Elephas maximus indicus: one gene and its partner. Each later gene encodes a partner of the first gene's protein in a complex. Links are inferred from orthologs where the notes say so. Each region holds a gene or a part of one and is shown in the gene's direction. Other genes may lie near its edges.

Evidence for each region.
Region 2: the proteins of RASA1 (region 1) and ARHGAP35 are in contact, whole or in part, in a crystal structure (PDB 8DGQ), measured with the Homo sapiens proteins. The link is inferred for Elephas maximus indicus from reciprocal best matches to the Homo sapiens genes RASA1 and ARHGAP35. Residues at the interface, in NP_002881.1 of Homo sapiens: Arg188, Arg207, Ser209, Arg211, Val217, Asn228, His229, Phe230, Arg231, Ile241, Gly242, Tyr256, Leu262, Leu263, Lys264, Lys358, Ser379, Asp380, Asn381, Ser387, Gln397, Arg398, Phe399, Lys400, Met411, Gly412, Gly413, Arg414, His425, Tyr426; in NP_004482.4 of Homo sapiens: Ser1085, Asp1086, Tyr1087, Ala1088, Glu1089, Pro1090, Met1091, Asp1092, Ala1093, Val1094, Val1095, Arg1098, Glu1100, Asn1103, Ile1104, Tyr1105, Ser1106, Val1107, Pro1108, His1109.

The regions. Positions count from the first base shown.
Region 1 is NC_064820.1:93,611,496-93,619,493, forward strand, and holds the start of RASA1 (ras GTPase-activating protein 1), read left to right. Parts: upstream 1-4,946; 5' UTR 4,947-5,562; coding exon 5,563-6,080; intron 6,081-7,998. UniProt on the Homo sapiens protein: Inhibitory regulator of the Ras-cyclic AMP pathway. Stimulates the GTPase of normal but not oncogenic Ras p21; this stimulation may be further increased in the presence of NCK1.
Region 2 is NC_064829.1:102,129,932-102,136,918, reverse strand, and holds the start of ARHGAP35 (rho GTPase-activating protein 35), read left to right. Parts: upstream 1-3,906; 5' UTR 3,907-4,117; intron 4,118-6,987.

The DNA.
Region 1 (7,998 bases):
TGAAACTGTAAGAAGTATATCTACCCCAGTATATCTATGTCAGGAAATTAAGGGGCCAGGAAGAAAATAAAAAGACACAGAAATAGGAATTGAGGGAGAAATTAGCAGAAAAAAAGAACATGAAAATATAAATGAGAGAAGAGCAGGTCAAGGTGAGTAAAAAAGAAAAAAAACGCGATAGACAAAAATAAAGGAGGTAGAAACATCAACCCCTTTAAGAAAAAAAAAGTCATTAAAGATAGAAGACTCATTTAAGATTAACGAAGTATGCAAGCAATACTTGTACCTCCACCTGTTGCTGTCAATTCTGACGCATAGCAACCCTATAGGACAGAGTAGTACTGCCCTATAGAGTTTCCAAGGAACACCTGGTGGATCCGAACTGCCGAATTTTGGGTGTACAGCCACAGCACTTAACCACTACATCGGCAGGGCTTCCGCATAAGAAATAGTAAACCTCAAAGTCTAGATCTGTCTGATGGTCAGAATATTTTGCAAAATATTCTTAAAAAAATAAAATATTTTGAAGATACCTTGTCAAAAATGTGTGGTAATCTCTTTGGATGAAAAGGACAATGCTAATTCTAAAGTTAAACATAAGCTAGATAAGATAGCCATACTAGGTTGATTTATGAATAGACATAGGAGGTCCTTCCTACTAGCTGAGAAATTGATTTCCAAACATGTGAGCTGATCTAACCCAGTATCTATTGAAAGGGTGGAGATCTTTTCAAAGCAATGTTTTAAAGATGCCTAGCACTGGGATAGGCAGTAGAATAGACCATAGAATGCCTTTGCAGTCTAGTCTTGTAAATAAAACCAAAACCAAGCAGGTTGTCGTGGAGTTGATTCAAAATCATAGCGACCCTATAGGGCAGAGTAGAATCATCCCACAGGGTTTCCAAGGAGTGGCTGATAGATTTGAACTGCCAACCTTTTGGTTAGCAGCCCAACACTCAAACCACTACACCACCAAAAAAAAATAATAAATAAACCAAACCCAGTGCCGTCGAGTCGATTCCAACTCCTAGCGACCCTATAGGACAGGGTAGAACTGCCCCATAGAGTTTCCAAGGAGCACCTGGCAGATTCGAACTGCCAGCCCTTTGGTTAGCAGCTGTAGCACTTAACCACAACGCCACCAGGGTTTCCACTACGCCACCAGGGCCTAAAAATAACTAGAAAGCAACATAACGCAGTATATAATTGGTGTCAGACTGCATTAAATATTGGCTTTTAAGTGTGTAAGAATTTTCAAAAAGGGGAATTCTGCAAATTATACCTAAGCTCTCGGGCTGAATATAGGCGGTATGTGAGCACTTACAGATCAGTTGTAACCAAGACCTGCTAACTGGCCAGTTCAATGCCTTATATTGACTGACTGATAGTGGTGACTGAAGTGAACGCATTGGAGGTGTGGGATGCTGTTTAGGATTGAATTGTGTCCCCCCCAAAATCCTAACCTCTACAATTGTGGTTATAATCCCACTTGGGAATGGCTTTTCTTATGTTAATTAGGCAGTATTAGTCTAGGAAGGAGTCCTGGTGGCAAAGTGGTTAAGCATTTGGCTGCTAACCCAATGGTAACCCATCAGCTGCTCCACAGGAGAAAGATGTGGCAGTCTGCTTCCATAAGGATTTACAGCCTTTGAAATTCTATGGGGCAGCTCTACTCTATTCTATAGGGTTGCTGTGAGTGAGAATCCACTCGATGGCAATGGGTTTGGTAAGGATTTGATTAGTGTAGAGTGTGTCTTCAGTCAATCTGTTCTGAGATAAAAAAGAGATTAAACAAGTGAGCAAGGAGAGATGGAGGAAGATAGATGCTACACCACACAAAGATCACCAAGAAGCCAAGGAATAGAAGCTGAAGAGATAATGACCTTCTCCCAAAGCCAGCAGAGAAAGTCTTCCCCTAGAGCTGTTGCCCTGATTTCAGACTTCTAGTCTTCCAGTTGACTCGATGGCAGCAGGTTAGCCTTCCAAACTTGAGAAAATAAATCTCTGTTTGTTAAAGCCACCTACTTGCGTTATTTCTACTATAGCAGTACTAAATAACTAAGAAAGATGCTAACACACTGCAGGCCTTCAAGCCAAGGCTATATGAAAACTTGTTGGGGATGCTGTACTTGGAATTTATGCATTAGGCAATAGCTGGAGTAGTTACTTCGATGGTCTCTTCTGAGGTTCTAAAATTAAAAAAAGAAAGAAAGAAAAAAATGTTATCAGAGGACCACCATAAGTACCGGTAGTACTTCATTATTCTCTTAAGTACTATAAACTACTTCATTCTGCTCTTTTTCATTTCCTAACCTTCTTTCTGGGCTAGCATAGAATTTAGTAACCCAACACCTACAGCTCTTACCCATACACTTAATGAATGCCATTGAGTCTGCTTTCTTGTTCATTCTTTCTTTCAGAATGTGTTTAGGTATTGCACACCTTCTTGATTAGTGGCGTAGTGGTTAAGAGTTAAACATAAACTAGATAAGCTAAGCTACGGCTGCTAACCAAAAGGTCGGCAATTCAAATCCACTAGGTGCTCCTTGGAAACTGTGTGGCGCAGTTCTACTCTACCCTATAGGGTTGCTGAGTTGGAATTGACTCAATGGCAATGGGTTTTTTTTTTTTTTGGTTTCTTGATTAGTATACTATATTCTAGAGCAGTGGTTCTCAAACTCAATTGAGCAAACAGGTACTTGGAGACTCACTAAAGGAGTATAGATTGTTGAGCCCTCTGGCCCACAGTTCAGAGGGCCTGATTCAGAGGGGTCTGAAAATATGCATTTCTAGCAAGTTTCTTGGATATTGCTGGTCTGAGGTCACTTTGACAACTATAGTTCTGTAACTATAGTTCTGGTGACTGACTAGTCCATCTTCATTCTCCCAGGTGGTACACTGGGTAAGAGGTAGAACGATTTAGGAATTCTCAGAACTACTATTTAATCAAGTTTATCACTGACTTGATAACTGGCCTACGCAAACTTCTGAAGTAAATGTACAGAGTGTACCTTGTCACCTCTTTTAGCAATCTTTACTCTTTTTCCCAGGCCTCTATTACAGCCCCCCATCTACAATCTGCTCCTATGCTGGTTTGATTGTCCTTATCAGAAAAAATATTGATCTCAAAAATCAATATTCAATGGTATTCAAGGTTGATCCATCCAGTACAAATCTAAAAGACAAGAACAATATATGAATCTAAATGGGTACGTTATCAATCGCATTAGTTTTCTAGGGCTGCCATAATAAGGTACCACAAACTGGATGGCTTAACACAATAGAAATTCACTCACAGTTCTGGAGGCTAGAAGCCTGAAATAAAAATGTCAGCAGGCCATGCTATCTCTCCTAGCTTTTGATGGTTTTGGCAATCTTTGGCATTCCTTGGCTTGTAGATACATAACTCCAGGCTCTCTCCATTGTCACATGGGCTGTGTCTACATTTCCCTCTTTTTATAAGGGCAGCAGTCATATTAGGTTTAGGGCCTACCCACATGCAGTGGACCCTCATCCTGATTATACCTGCAAAGACCCTATTTCCAAATATGGGCACATTCACAGGTTCTGGGTGAACATGATTTTTTGGGGGGACACTACTCAACCCAGGTAGATGGTGAGCAAAAAAGAGGAAGAACCCCAACGAGATGGAGTGATACAGTGGCTGCAGCAATGGCCTCAAAAACACCGATTGTGAGGATGGCCCAGGACAAGGCAATTTCGTTGTAAATAGAGAAATGACAGCACGTAACAACATCCAACCCAGTACACCAATAGTGTAATCTCAAACAATGGAAATGAGTCCATCACATACATGAATGCATACCACAGCTTACATACATTCTAGTACAAAAAGCAAAACAAATCCTCTCTCTTTGGCCATACTAAGGGTGGGATTTGTTAATTGATAATTTTTAAAATTACATCTATCTTTTTTTTTTTTTTGATACTTTAGGGTCTCTCTGGCATTTGGCTTATTGAAGGTGCTGTGTCAACTCACATATGCACCATGCCCTGCAGTTTTCTGCACAAGTGTGAGGAGAAAAGCATGGTTGGTGTCGGCTGTGGCTCCTCCTTCCCACACCCCTTCCTTAGTACTCACGAGACTTGCAATGGCACAGGTGAAAGTACGTGTCTGTGTGTTTTAAAAAAAACAAAACATATATTGGTAGACATCTGACTTCACAACCACATTTATTTCTACCAAAGCTCCCGTTATTCCCATATAAAACCAAAAAAAACCCAGTGCCGTGGTCCTGTTTATTTGTTTCCTTCTTTTGGGTACCAGAAAGTCTTTTTTTTTTTTTTTGAGTTTGTAATAGTCGTACTGTGATTTATATCATGCAAAAAAAAAAAAAAAAAAAAATTAACGGTACAGCCTGGGTCTTGGCAGCAGCATCACAAGCCCCTCATCCACCCCCACAGCTGGCTGCTATCTGGGCCTCCGGCTAAGGCCGTTTTATCCACGGGTCTGGAAGTAAGGGACTGGCTCTGTGGCACCTTCCTTTCCCTTTCTCATTCCTTCCTCTCCACTGCCTCCTTGTCCCTCTCATCTCTCCCGTCTTCAAGGCGCTCAGGGGCCTCGCCTCCTTTACCCTATCTCCTGCAACCAGAGAGGACCGCCACGGGTTAGTTGGGCTTGCGCCGCCGTTCTGGTAGGCACGAGGCCCCTTACGCAGGCCACCCGCCCATCAAACAAAGCCCCGGGAGGCAGGCGCGCGCCGCCGGCGACACCCAAAGAAGCGGTCGTACCGCCACGCGCTCTAAACAGAGCGGGACAGCGAGCCAGGCCACGCGCCGCGCGCCCCCGCCGCTTCCTTCCCTCCGGACTCTTCCTTTTCCTCCCTCCAGGCCCCGTTCCCCCCGCCCCCGCGCCGGGAACGCGCCTGCGCAGACACTGCCCTCTCCCTCCTCCTCCGCCCTTCCTTCCCTCCGTTCCTCCTCCCCTGTCCCGCCTTCCTTTCTCTCTCCTTGGGTTTCACTGAGCTCTAGGTTGTGAGCAGTTCAGTTCATTTCCCCAGCACCCCGCCCCCCTTCTTCATTCTCTCTCCACCCCTCCCATCTCCAGCCCGGTGGAGGATGAAGCGGCCACAGTGGCCCCAGCCCCAGCAGCAACACCGGCGGTGGCTTTGGTGGGGGTGGCGGGAACTCCGGTGGTGAAGAGGCGGTGGTGGCGGCGGCAGCAGTGGCTGAAGCAGTGGAAGCCGCCCCAGCCGCTTCCCCCTTGCTTCCCTTCCTCTTTAGTGCAGCCAGGAAGTTTTTCGCTTCTCTGCATGTGTGTGTGCGTGCGTGTGGGTGTGTAAAGTGAAGGTTTGGGCAGCGTTTGTGCAGGCGTAGGATTTTTTGCCCACTTCGCTTCCCGTAACCCGGGCAGCTCCAGAGCCTGGGCTGTGGCCCGAGGAGGGGGCGCGGCGGCGTCGGGCTCTCTCCTTTTGTTGTTGTTTCCTCCGCCTGGGGAACTGAAGGGGGAACGCGCCTGGGTGGGGCGACTCGGAGCCCGGGCCTGGTGGCCCCCGGGGCTCCCGGGCAGGCAGGGCAGGGCAGAGTAGAGCGGGCTTCAACATGATGGCGGCCGAGGCCGGCAGCGAGGAGGGCGGCCCGGTGACCGGCGGGGCAGGAGGCGGCGGCGCGGCGGCAGGCTCGAATGCCTATCCGGCTGTGTGTCGGATGAAGATACCTGCGGCCCTGCCTGTGGCATCCGCCCCTTATCCTGGGCTGACCGAGGCTGAAGTGGTCGGGAATCTGAGTGGCGGAGCTTCATATGGGCCAGCGTTCCTAGGAGCCGGGTCTGTGGTGGGGACACTGGGGGGAGCCGGACTGACAGGGGGAGGTGCTACCGCTGGTGTGGCTGGTGCAGCTGCCCCCGGCCCTGGTGGGGACATGGCTCTCACCAAGGGGCCCGCTTCGTTGCTTGCTGAGACCCTAGGGCCAGGCGGCGGATTTCCCCCTCTGCCGCCGCCGCCTCAGCTGCCTACTTTGGGCGCGAGCCTGGCGACAGTGGACGAAGGTGACTCTCTGGATGGACCAGAATATGAGGAAGAAGAGGTGGCCATCCCCCTGACCGCTCCCCCAACTAACCAGTAAGTCAAGACTGCTGTTGAGGGACCCGGGAAGCGGCCTCCAGGAAAGAAGTGGGGAGTAAAAGTGGGGAAACGTATGGTGTTCTTTCACCTGTGATTTGTTCTGGAAAAAGTTTTTAAGTTTCAGGCTCCATGTGCGGGGATTTAATATAATCACCCATCTTCCTTACAGGTATATCGTATCTCCTGGCGCCTTCGTATATTTATTGCTCCTCTGGGAAGATGGAAAGTTTTTAAGATGGGAAGCATGGAAAAATATGTATTCATTGAGAACCGGATATGGTTCTGCTCCTTCTAAATTGAGGTGGTGTCCCAGGATTCAGCTGAGTTTGCAGCTACCAAGGCAGTCATTGACTATGTTAACCTGTGTGTGTGTTCCCAGAAGCTTTGAATACGAGCATTTGAGTATTGGGTTAACATCATTCGAGAATGCATTGGTCAGAAGGCTTTGTTTTTGTTGAACTGCAAATCCCAATTTTTGTCTGCTGAAAACACAGTGATATAGAAAAGTCTCTGGATCTTTTAGGCGGTCAGAGAGAATTAGGAAAGCAGTTCTGTGAATTCCAGGTGTGATTAAGGGTTTCATACTCCAACGATGTCTGTAACTTGTTTCATAGAGTATATGTCACTACCAGTGTAATTCCTTTGTAGTTGAGATTCTGTAAGTACAATACTGAAGCAAAACAAAATTAATAGTGCTTCTTATCAGCACTTTTTGTTGGTGGCCAATACAATATCCTGTTTGAAAATTAATTTTAACAGTTGCTGTAGAATATATATGACAGATTTTTTTTTTTTTTATTGTTAGTACCTTCCCTTTGTTATTTTCATAAGTGGACTTTGGTATGTGTTTAAAAAGGTGGACCTTGATGAGACCAAGATGTTGAGATGGGAAATGGTAATAGCTGACAAAACTTGTTTTGTAGACTCCCCACATCAGTTTAATTGACAGAATTTCAGAATATTTGATGATTATCCCAGGAAAAAAGATTTGGTTCATATGATGACAGTCACTGGACAATCAAAAGCCTTCATCAGAGAATTTAGAAAGAAGAAAAAAAAAAAAAAAGAAATTAGCAAGAGATATTGTAATACCAATCTATTTTTGACTTAAGGCATTATGTTTTGATATTTAAGGTGGAAAAGTAAATTAGTCTTATTTATGCCAGTTACGGTATAAGAATGTTGAATATTCCTTTTATACTATTCCATAGAGTTCAGTTTTTTTTGTGTAATTTTATTCTGGCTTATGTCTGTGCATTGCAGATATTTTTGGAGGGGGTTATGGCTTTATTAAAAATTCCAATTTTACCCTGAGGGACCAGATTACTGGGCTGAGGACTGTGGGGACCATGGTCTCCAGGAACATCTAGCTCAATTGGCATAACATAGTTTACAAAGAAAATGTACTACATTCTACTTTGGTGAGTAGCGTCTGGGGTCTTAAAAGCTTATGAGCGGCCATCTAAGATGCTAGATTGATCTCATCCCATCTGGAGCAAGGGAGAATGAAGAAAACCAAAGACGCAAGGGAAAGATTAGTCCAAAGAACTGGTAGACTACAACTACCATAACCTCCACCAGACTGAGTCCAGTACAACTAGATAGTGCCCAGCTACCACCACTGACTGCTCTTACGGGGAGCACAAGAGAGGATCCTGAACAGAGCTGGAGAACAATGTAGGATAAAATTCAAACTCACAAAACAAAACAAAAAACCAGACTTACTGGTCTGACAGAGACTGGAGAAACCCTGAGAATATGGCCCCCGGACACCGTTGTAATTCAGTACTGAAGTCACTCCTGAGGTTCATCCTTCAGCCAAAGGTTAGACTGGACCGTAAAACAAAATGAGACTAAGTGGGCACACCAGCCCAGGGGCAAGGACAAGGCAGGAGGGGACAGGAAAGCTGGTAAT
Region 2 (6,987 bases), on another chromosome or scaffold:
ACCAAGTTGTTTTCAGCTGACCCAGGAAATATTAGTCAACCTGGACAAAAGTAACACAATGACGTGGTTGAATCTCACAGTGTTGGTCAAAAGAAGCCAAGGGCAAGAAAGTACTAAATGTACGGTCCATTTATATAAAGTCGAAAACAGGCAAAACTAATCTTTGGTCACAGAAATCAGGAAAGAGGTTCCCCTTGTGTGAGGAGGGGAGTAACTGGAGGGGGTTACAGGAGGATTGGTCATGTTGTGTTTCTTGATCTGGGTGCTGGTTTCAAGGGTGTTTCTCTTTGCGAATATTCATCAAGGTGCACACTTGTGATCCGTGCACTTCTCGGTATGTATGCTAGATTTCAATTTTAAAAGCTTATGAAAAAATAGAGAGTTTCATCACCCAGCCATCCATTAGATATTTATTGCGTGCTTACTGTGTGCCAAGCGGGAGTTCTGTTCAGGCGCTGGGATGAAGGCCTGAATCCGAGCATCCCGGCCTCTTGATTGGCTGTCCTTCCAGCCAGTGGTGGAAGAATTCGCCGCTCTCAGGCATCCCAGCTGTATCATCAGCTGAACTTCCTCAGCTCGGCTTGTAGGCGGCGCTGTGGGTTTACCGACTCCTGCAAGCGCAGGCCTCGTTCCCATCCTCTGTTCTGATTCTCTCAGGAAAGGAGAGAGCAAATGCCCCAGCGCCCCCACCCTCTTTGCAAAATTCTTTTGTGGATTTTTCTGCCTGTGCGTCTCTTCCATGCGGGTCCAGGTCCCCAGGCCTTGCTGGTACCTATCCCGGCTCCCCCGTTGGCTTGACCTCCAGTTCCGGCCATTGGGGCCCCTAGGGCGATGCTTGGGAAATCTTGACAGCGGCCCAGGCTGGCAGTCGGCACTTCTATCGGTGTGCTAATTGTTTACTTGGTTGTTTATTTATCCTGGAGTGGAGGCTAGCCGGGTGTGCGGGGGCGGCTGCCCCCAGGGAAGCCGGCTTCCTGTGGTTGCCTTGCTCAGCTTACTCCCGCCCTCTTGTGCACTAGAAAGATATGCAGGGCTAGAAGGGCCTTTCTTGATGGTTCCATTTGTCCAACAAAATGCTGCCTGAGCGCCTGCCTTGTGCCTGGATCTGTGCTGGGCGCGACTGAGACAGCCCCAACCCTGCCTTCACAGGGCTCACAGTCCAGTGGAAGAGAAAGACCTGTCACTACACAAGGTCGACCCAGGGTGATCAGGGCTTGAATGGGGAGTCAAGGGGGCTGTGGGAGCTTACGAAGGGGACACCTGACACAGCCTAGTGGGTCAGGTAGGGCCTGGTGAAAGAGGGGACATCTAAGTTAGCATCTGAAAAAAGGGTAGGAGTTAGTCAGTGGACAAAGGCTGTATTTTTTTGGCTACCATGCACCCAGTGCCTACCGTCCCCTTTGTTTAGTATTGGATTAATTCATTTATTCATTAATTAACAAGTATTCATTATGAAAGGTCCCTAGATGGTGCAAAGGGTTTATACTGGACTGCTAACCTAAAGGTTGTAGGTTGGCGCACAACAAGCAGTACCAAGGAAGAAAGGCTATTAAGATCACAGCCAAGGAAATCCCATGGAACGGTCCTACTCTGTAACATTTATTATGGGCCATTTACAATAACATGGAACTAGCTAGACGGAGTTCCTGCTTTCAAAGGACTCACACATAAAATGGTTGTACCAAATCATTTTGTCCCCCCAAAATTTATGTTCAAGTGCTAATACCCTGGTACCTGTGAATGTAACCTTGTTTGGAAATTGGGTCTCTGAAGATGTTATCACTTAAGTTACCATGAGGTCATACTGGAGTAGGGTGGGTCCTGGTCCAATATGAGCAGTATCTTATAAAAGAGAAGAGACTGTTTTTGGGCTTTTAATGAATGCAATCATACAGTTAGCACTCTTTTGTGCCTGGCTTTTTTCGACCAACGTTGTTTGTGAGATCCAGCCACTTTATTGTGTGCAAGGGTAGGTTGTCTATTCTCACTGAATGTAGTATTTCCACTGTGTGAATGAACCACAATGCATTTGTTTGGTTGCATCAGCCCTGATGGAGTGCTATGAAGAAGTTGTTATTGTTGTTAGGTTCTGTTGAGACAGTTCCGACCCAGTCCTGCGCCATCTTCATGATTTTTGTTATACCTGAGCCCACTGTTGGAATGTGTCAATTCATATTGTTGAAGGTCTTCCACTTTTTTGCTGACCCTCTACTTTACCAAGCATGATGTCCTTCTCCAGGGTCTGATCCCTCCTGATAACATGTCCAAAGTATTGAGAAGTAGTCTCACCATTCTTGCTTCTAAGGAACATTCTGGCTATACTTCTTCCAAGACAGATTTGAAGTAATAGATATGCAGTTTCCTGACCCCAACCACCTAGGTTTCAATCCCAAATCTGCAACTTATTAGCTATGTAACCTCTGAGTGCCTTACTCTGAGTTATCTAGGAGCCCTGCTGGGTCAATGGTTAAATGCTGGGCTGTTAACCAAAAGGTTGTGGTTTGAACCTACCAGCCACTTCGCAAGAGAAAGATGTGACAGTCTGCTTCCATAAAGTTTTAGAGCACTGGAAACCCTATGGGGCAGTTCTAACTATGTGTAAGGCACGATTCGCAGCACTTTACAAGTATAACTCAATTCTCACCGGAACGCTATGGAGATACGATTATTATCCTATTGTATAGATTACGAGACTGAGGAAAGAAATGCAAAATGCAATAGGAACATAGCCCTTCCTTCATGCATTGCACATATATTGACTGGGCATTCAGATTGCTCACTTCCAAGATCAGTGCTTTCGGAGAGGTCCCAGAGGAAACCCCTCAGTTCAGAAGAACTCAAGGGTTGCAGAGTTGCCCTCTCCCATCATTTCTACTTCCTCTCTAGGCTCCCCAACTGATAGTCGCAGTCATTTGCGCAATGCTGATTGGCCGCGAGGGTTGCTCTGCAGGACCAGGCCCCGCCTCCTCACCGCCAGACCAGACGATCAAGGAATCAGGAGCTACTTCCATTAATGCGCCGATCGCGGGCAGATTTTCTTCACTGCAAGGGTAAAGAGCACGCGCTCGCCAGCCCCGCCCCTTCTTCCGGGAGAACGAATTGAGAGGCTCGGATTGGGCTGAGGCGAGCCACGCCTCCTCAGGTTCCCCAATCAACTCCTTCGTTGGACGCGCTCCCTTATTCCCTAGTCCCTCCCACCGCCTCAAGTTACTTCTCTCCCTCTCCCCCTCCGTTATCTTGGGGGCTGCGGCTCGCGCGGCAAACCCACCTCCCCTTGCCTCGCATTGGCTGGTCAGGTCCCGCGCGAGCGGAATCACACCCCCCTCACTCCCGCCCCCAAAGCCCGGCCATGCCTCTCCCCTATTGCTCTCTCCAGAGCCAGCGCGAACCCGGGGATCGGCTGCTTCGGGCGCGCGCATGGGCGCGCCCGCCCCCTGAGGGCCACGCCCACCGCCGGGAGGCCCCCCTCCCGCGCACGCGCACTTGCCCAACCCAGTCTGCCGGGTCGTGGGTCTCCTCGCGCTCACAGTCTCGCGCCGCAGCCACCGCAGTAGCGGCTTCTCGGGGCGCACGCGCACTGCATCCTCCACGCCCGTTTCCAGCCCCACGCCGCCGCGGTGTCTGTGAGCCCCTCGAGCGCGCACGCGCTTCTCGCTTCGGCTCGCTGTCCTGCGCCGGCAGTCCCCTCGCGGCGCGCACCCAGGGGCCGTTATCCCCCTGCAGCGGTCCCCGCGCCGCGCACGCGCAGTAGTGGGGGCGCGCGTGCGGGAGCGGCGGCCGCAGAAAGGAGGCGCCGCGGTCGCAGCCGTCGCCGCCATTGCGAGGGAGGGAGTGAGGGAGCGAGCGAGCGAGGCCGGTCCGCCCTCCCCCTGTTCCCGCCCCTCCCCCTTCCCCCCCGCCCCCCGCCCCGAGGGAGAGCCGCGGCGCGGCACGAGGAGGAGGAGGTGGTGGAGGCGGAGGAGGGAGCCCGCGAGGGAGGGTCCGCCCGGCCCCCCGCCGCCGGAGCCGCCGCCGCCTCACCCGCCGCTGGACGAAGAGCAGCAGAACATGGCGCCGGGGCCGCCGTCGCCGCGGCCGGGATCCCGGGGGCCGGGGCCGCACTGAGGGCACCCAGCTGGTGAGTGCGCGAGCTAGCGAGGCTGGGCGCCGCCCCGCTGCGGGGTCCAGGGGGAGGCGGGGACGGCGGGGCCCGCAGCCCGTGAACAATGGAGGAGCCGGAGGGGGAGGGGAGGGAGCGGCCCCCAGCCCCCCGCGCCCGCACCTCGGCCCGGCCCGCAGGTCCCGGCTCTCTTCGGACGTGCCCGTCCCGGCCCTGCTGTCCCCTCGGTTTTCCCTTCTCCCCACCCTTTGGGATCTCGGGTTATCTGCCTCTGTACCCCCACTTCGGCCGCTCTGCTCTCTCCTGCGCCCCCCCCTTCCCTCTTCCGCCCTGAGTAATGCTCTTCGCTCCTTCTGGACTCTGCAGTGCTCATGAGACCCGCCTCCTCCTCTCTGACCCTCTGCATCCCTTAATTCTGGCTCCCCTCTTTTGAGATCCATGACCCTTTTGCTTCTTCTCCGAATCTGCTATCACCGCCCTTCGGATCTGTCCCTGGCTGCCTTCTCTCATCATCTCCTCCTCCTGCTGACTCCCCCTCGCTCTGAATCGGTTGCACCCCCAGGAGCTGTCCCTCTAGGACCTGCGATTCCACCTCCTTGGAGACCCATCGAGACCTGGTTCAGCGCCCTGCTCGTTTTGGCACTGCTGACCCCACTTCTTCCTCTTGGGCTTCATTCCATCTCCTTCTTGGCTTCTGCTGCCCCGCAGTTCTGTCCTTGCTCTCTCCCAGAACCTGCCGCACCTCCGGGGATGCCCCTCTGCTTTCTGACCCTTCCTGCTCCCCCTGGAACTTGGATGCACCACATTTGTTTCCTTTTTTTTCTCATATGTTGTTTTCTTTTGCCTTTCAGACCCTTTTCTTTCTTCCAGACCTTTCTGCCATCCAGCATTGCCCTTTGCCCAGTTTCAGACCTTGTTGTGTGGCAAACCCGCTGGCTTTCCCCGCTGTGCCTTCCCATGAAGTAGCCTGCTCCTCTTCTCTGACCCTGTATTTGTCTCATTTGTGCGGTTAACTTCTTTTCTGATCTTTCTCCTCTTCCTCACAGCATCCACTTCATCCTGAGGTCCTGACGCCTGTCCTCAATGTTGTATTTGAGGTTTCCTTGCTTCCCCACTTTCTTTCTGGCATTATTTTTGAGCTGTCCCATTCATTTGCCCCCCCCCTTTCTTTGGTCTGCCTCCCCTTCAGTTCTTTGCCTGGGATCTGCCACATGGCTCCCTCTTTGCTCCTGGTCCTTTCCTAATTTTGGCCCCCCTTGGATTTGCCGTTTACCTCGCTATACCTTTGATAACTTCTGTCTTACTCATCACCCCATTCCCTTCCCATTTTGCATCTCACAGACCTGCCCTCAAATCCTTTTTTGCCCCTGCTCTTTTTCCTCCTTTGCTTGATTCTGCCCCCACCCTCTTTGGAGCTGTCCATTTGCCCACTTAGTTTCAGACCCATTTTAACTTTTTTGTTGCTGTCCCCTCTTGAAGTGGTCCTCTTTAATATGAATCTATTAACTGCCTCAGCTTCTTTTCCCTCTCAAGTCGAAGTTTTCTACCTGACATTTTCTCCCCCACCATTTTGATCCAGCTCTCACCCTCCCTGCTGTCCTTTTTTGTGGCTGTCCTTCCCTTTTTGCCCTGCCTCTTACCTCCTTTTTGAGTTCTCTTTCCCCAGTTCTGTCTAGTATTAGAGATGTCTTCTCACCCATTTCTGCTATCATACTTTCCCCCACCCCAGCAAGCTTCTTCTTAGAGCTGCTTCAGTTCTTTGATAGGTTCTTAATTCACACTTCTTTTGGATACCCCTTGCCCAATTCTGTTCTTCTTTGACTGGTTGCCTCCCCTACCTTTTCTTTCCCTTGTGGGTGTCTGGTGCCTTCTCTCCCCAAGTAGTTCCTATCAGACCTGCTTTTCCCAGTTCCCCACTGCTGACCCACCCATTCCCCCTTGAGTGAGTCCTTCTTTTAGGCAAGTCTTTCTCCCTCTCCGTTCCTTAGCTTTGGTGATGAAGTGGCTGGCCAGTCCTAGGTTCTCTAGGCTTTGATTTTAGTGCAGACCGTCTGTCCTGCATCCTGACCCTGAGAGCTTTATCCCAAGGGGAGATTGTGCCGTCTGGGCAAATAGGTGGGGTGGGGGGGTGGGGGTCGTGGTGGATTGGTTACTGCTACCTGGAGTCTGGGAGTATCTCCCCCATTTCTCCCACCTCCACCAAGTTTGGTGGTGGGCGCTGGCTCACTCTTGGCTCTCTCTGTGGTCCTGTCGTCTTTTCTGTGCTCCATTTGTTGCCCACCCCATTGGTGTAGCCCTCTGGGCTTTGCAGCTTTGTGTCCTCTCTCTGGAAAAGGGGCAAGTGCAGCTGCTGCCAAGTCTGTCTTCTCTGTCTCCCTTTCCTTCTCACCTTCTCTGAGCTAAAGAGACAGTGAGTGGTACCCTCTCCCCTTCCACCTCCAGGCCAGAACCCTTGGAGAGAACTTAGTAATGTGTTTTTTTTTCTTCCCCCAGCAGACAATTTATAATTTTGTTTTACGCGTGGTTGGGGAACTGCCATTTCTCGACTTCTCCCCACTCCTAGAGGGGGTGCAGCGCCACACTTGGTGTGTTGACTGCTCTGGGGCTACAGAAGCTGCCCCATCCAGTGGCCTCTGGTTTGCAGTGTGACCTTTGGGGAGGGGCAGAGGGAGTGTGGGCTTATTTCTTTTTCACCCTCTGCCCCAGGAAAGCTTCAGTTTCTTGGTCTTCAGAATGGTGAGGGCCTGGGTTTGGAAAGCACTTTGTGGTTTTTTGTTGAAAGAAAGTGCCAAGTGTCACTCAGATTTCTGCCCTCTGATATTGCAGGCACTCCCAGCCATGGGAGCTGAGGGCCTGGGGTAATCTAGGTGGGGCTTTGGGGGCTCAGT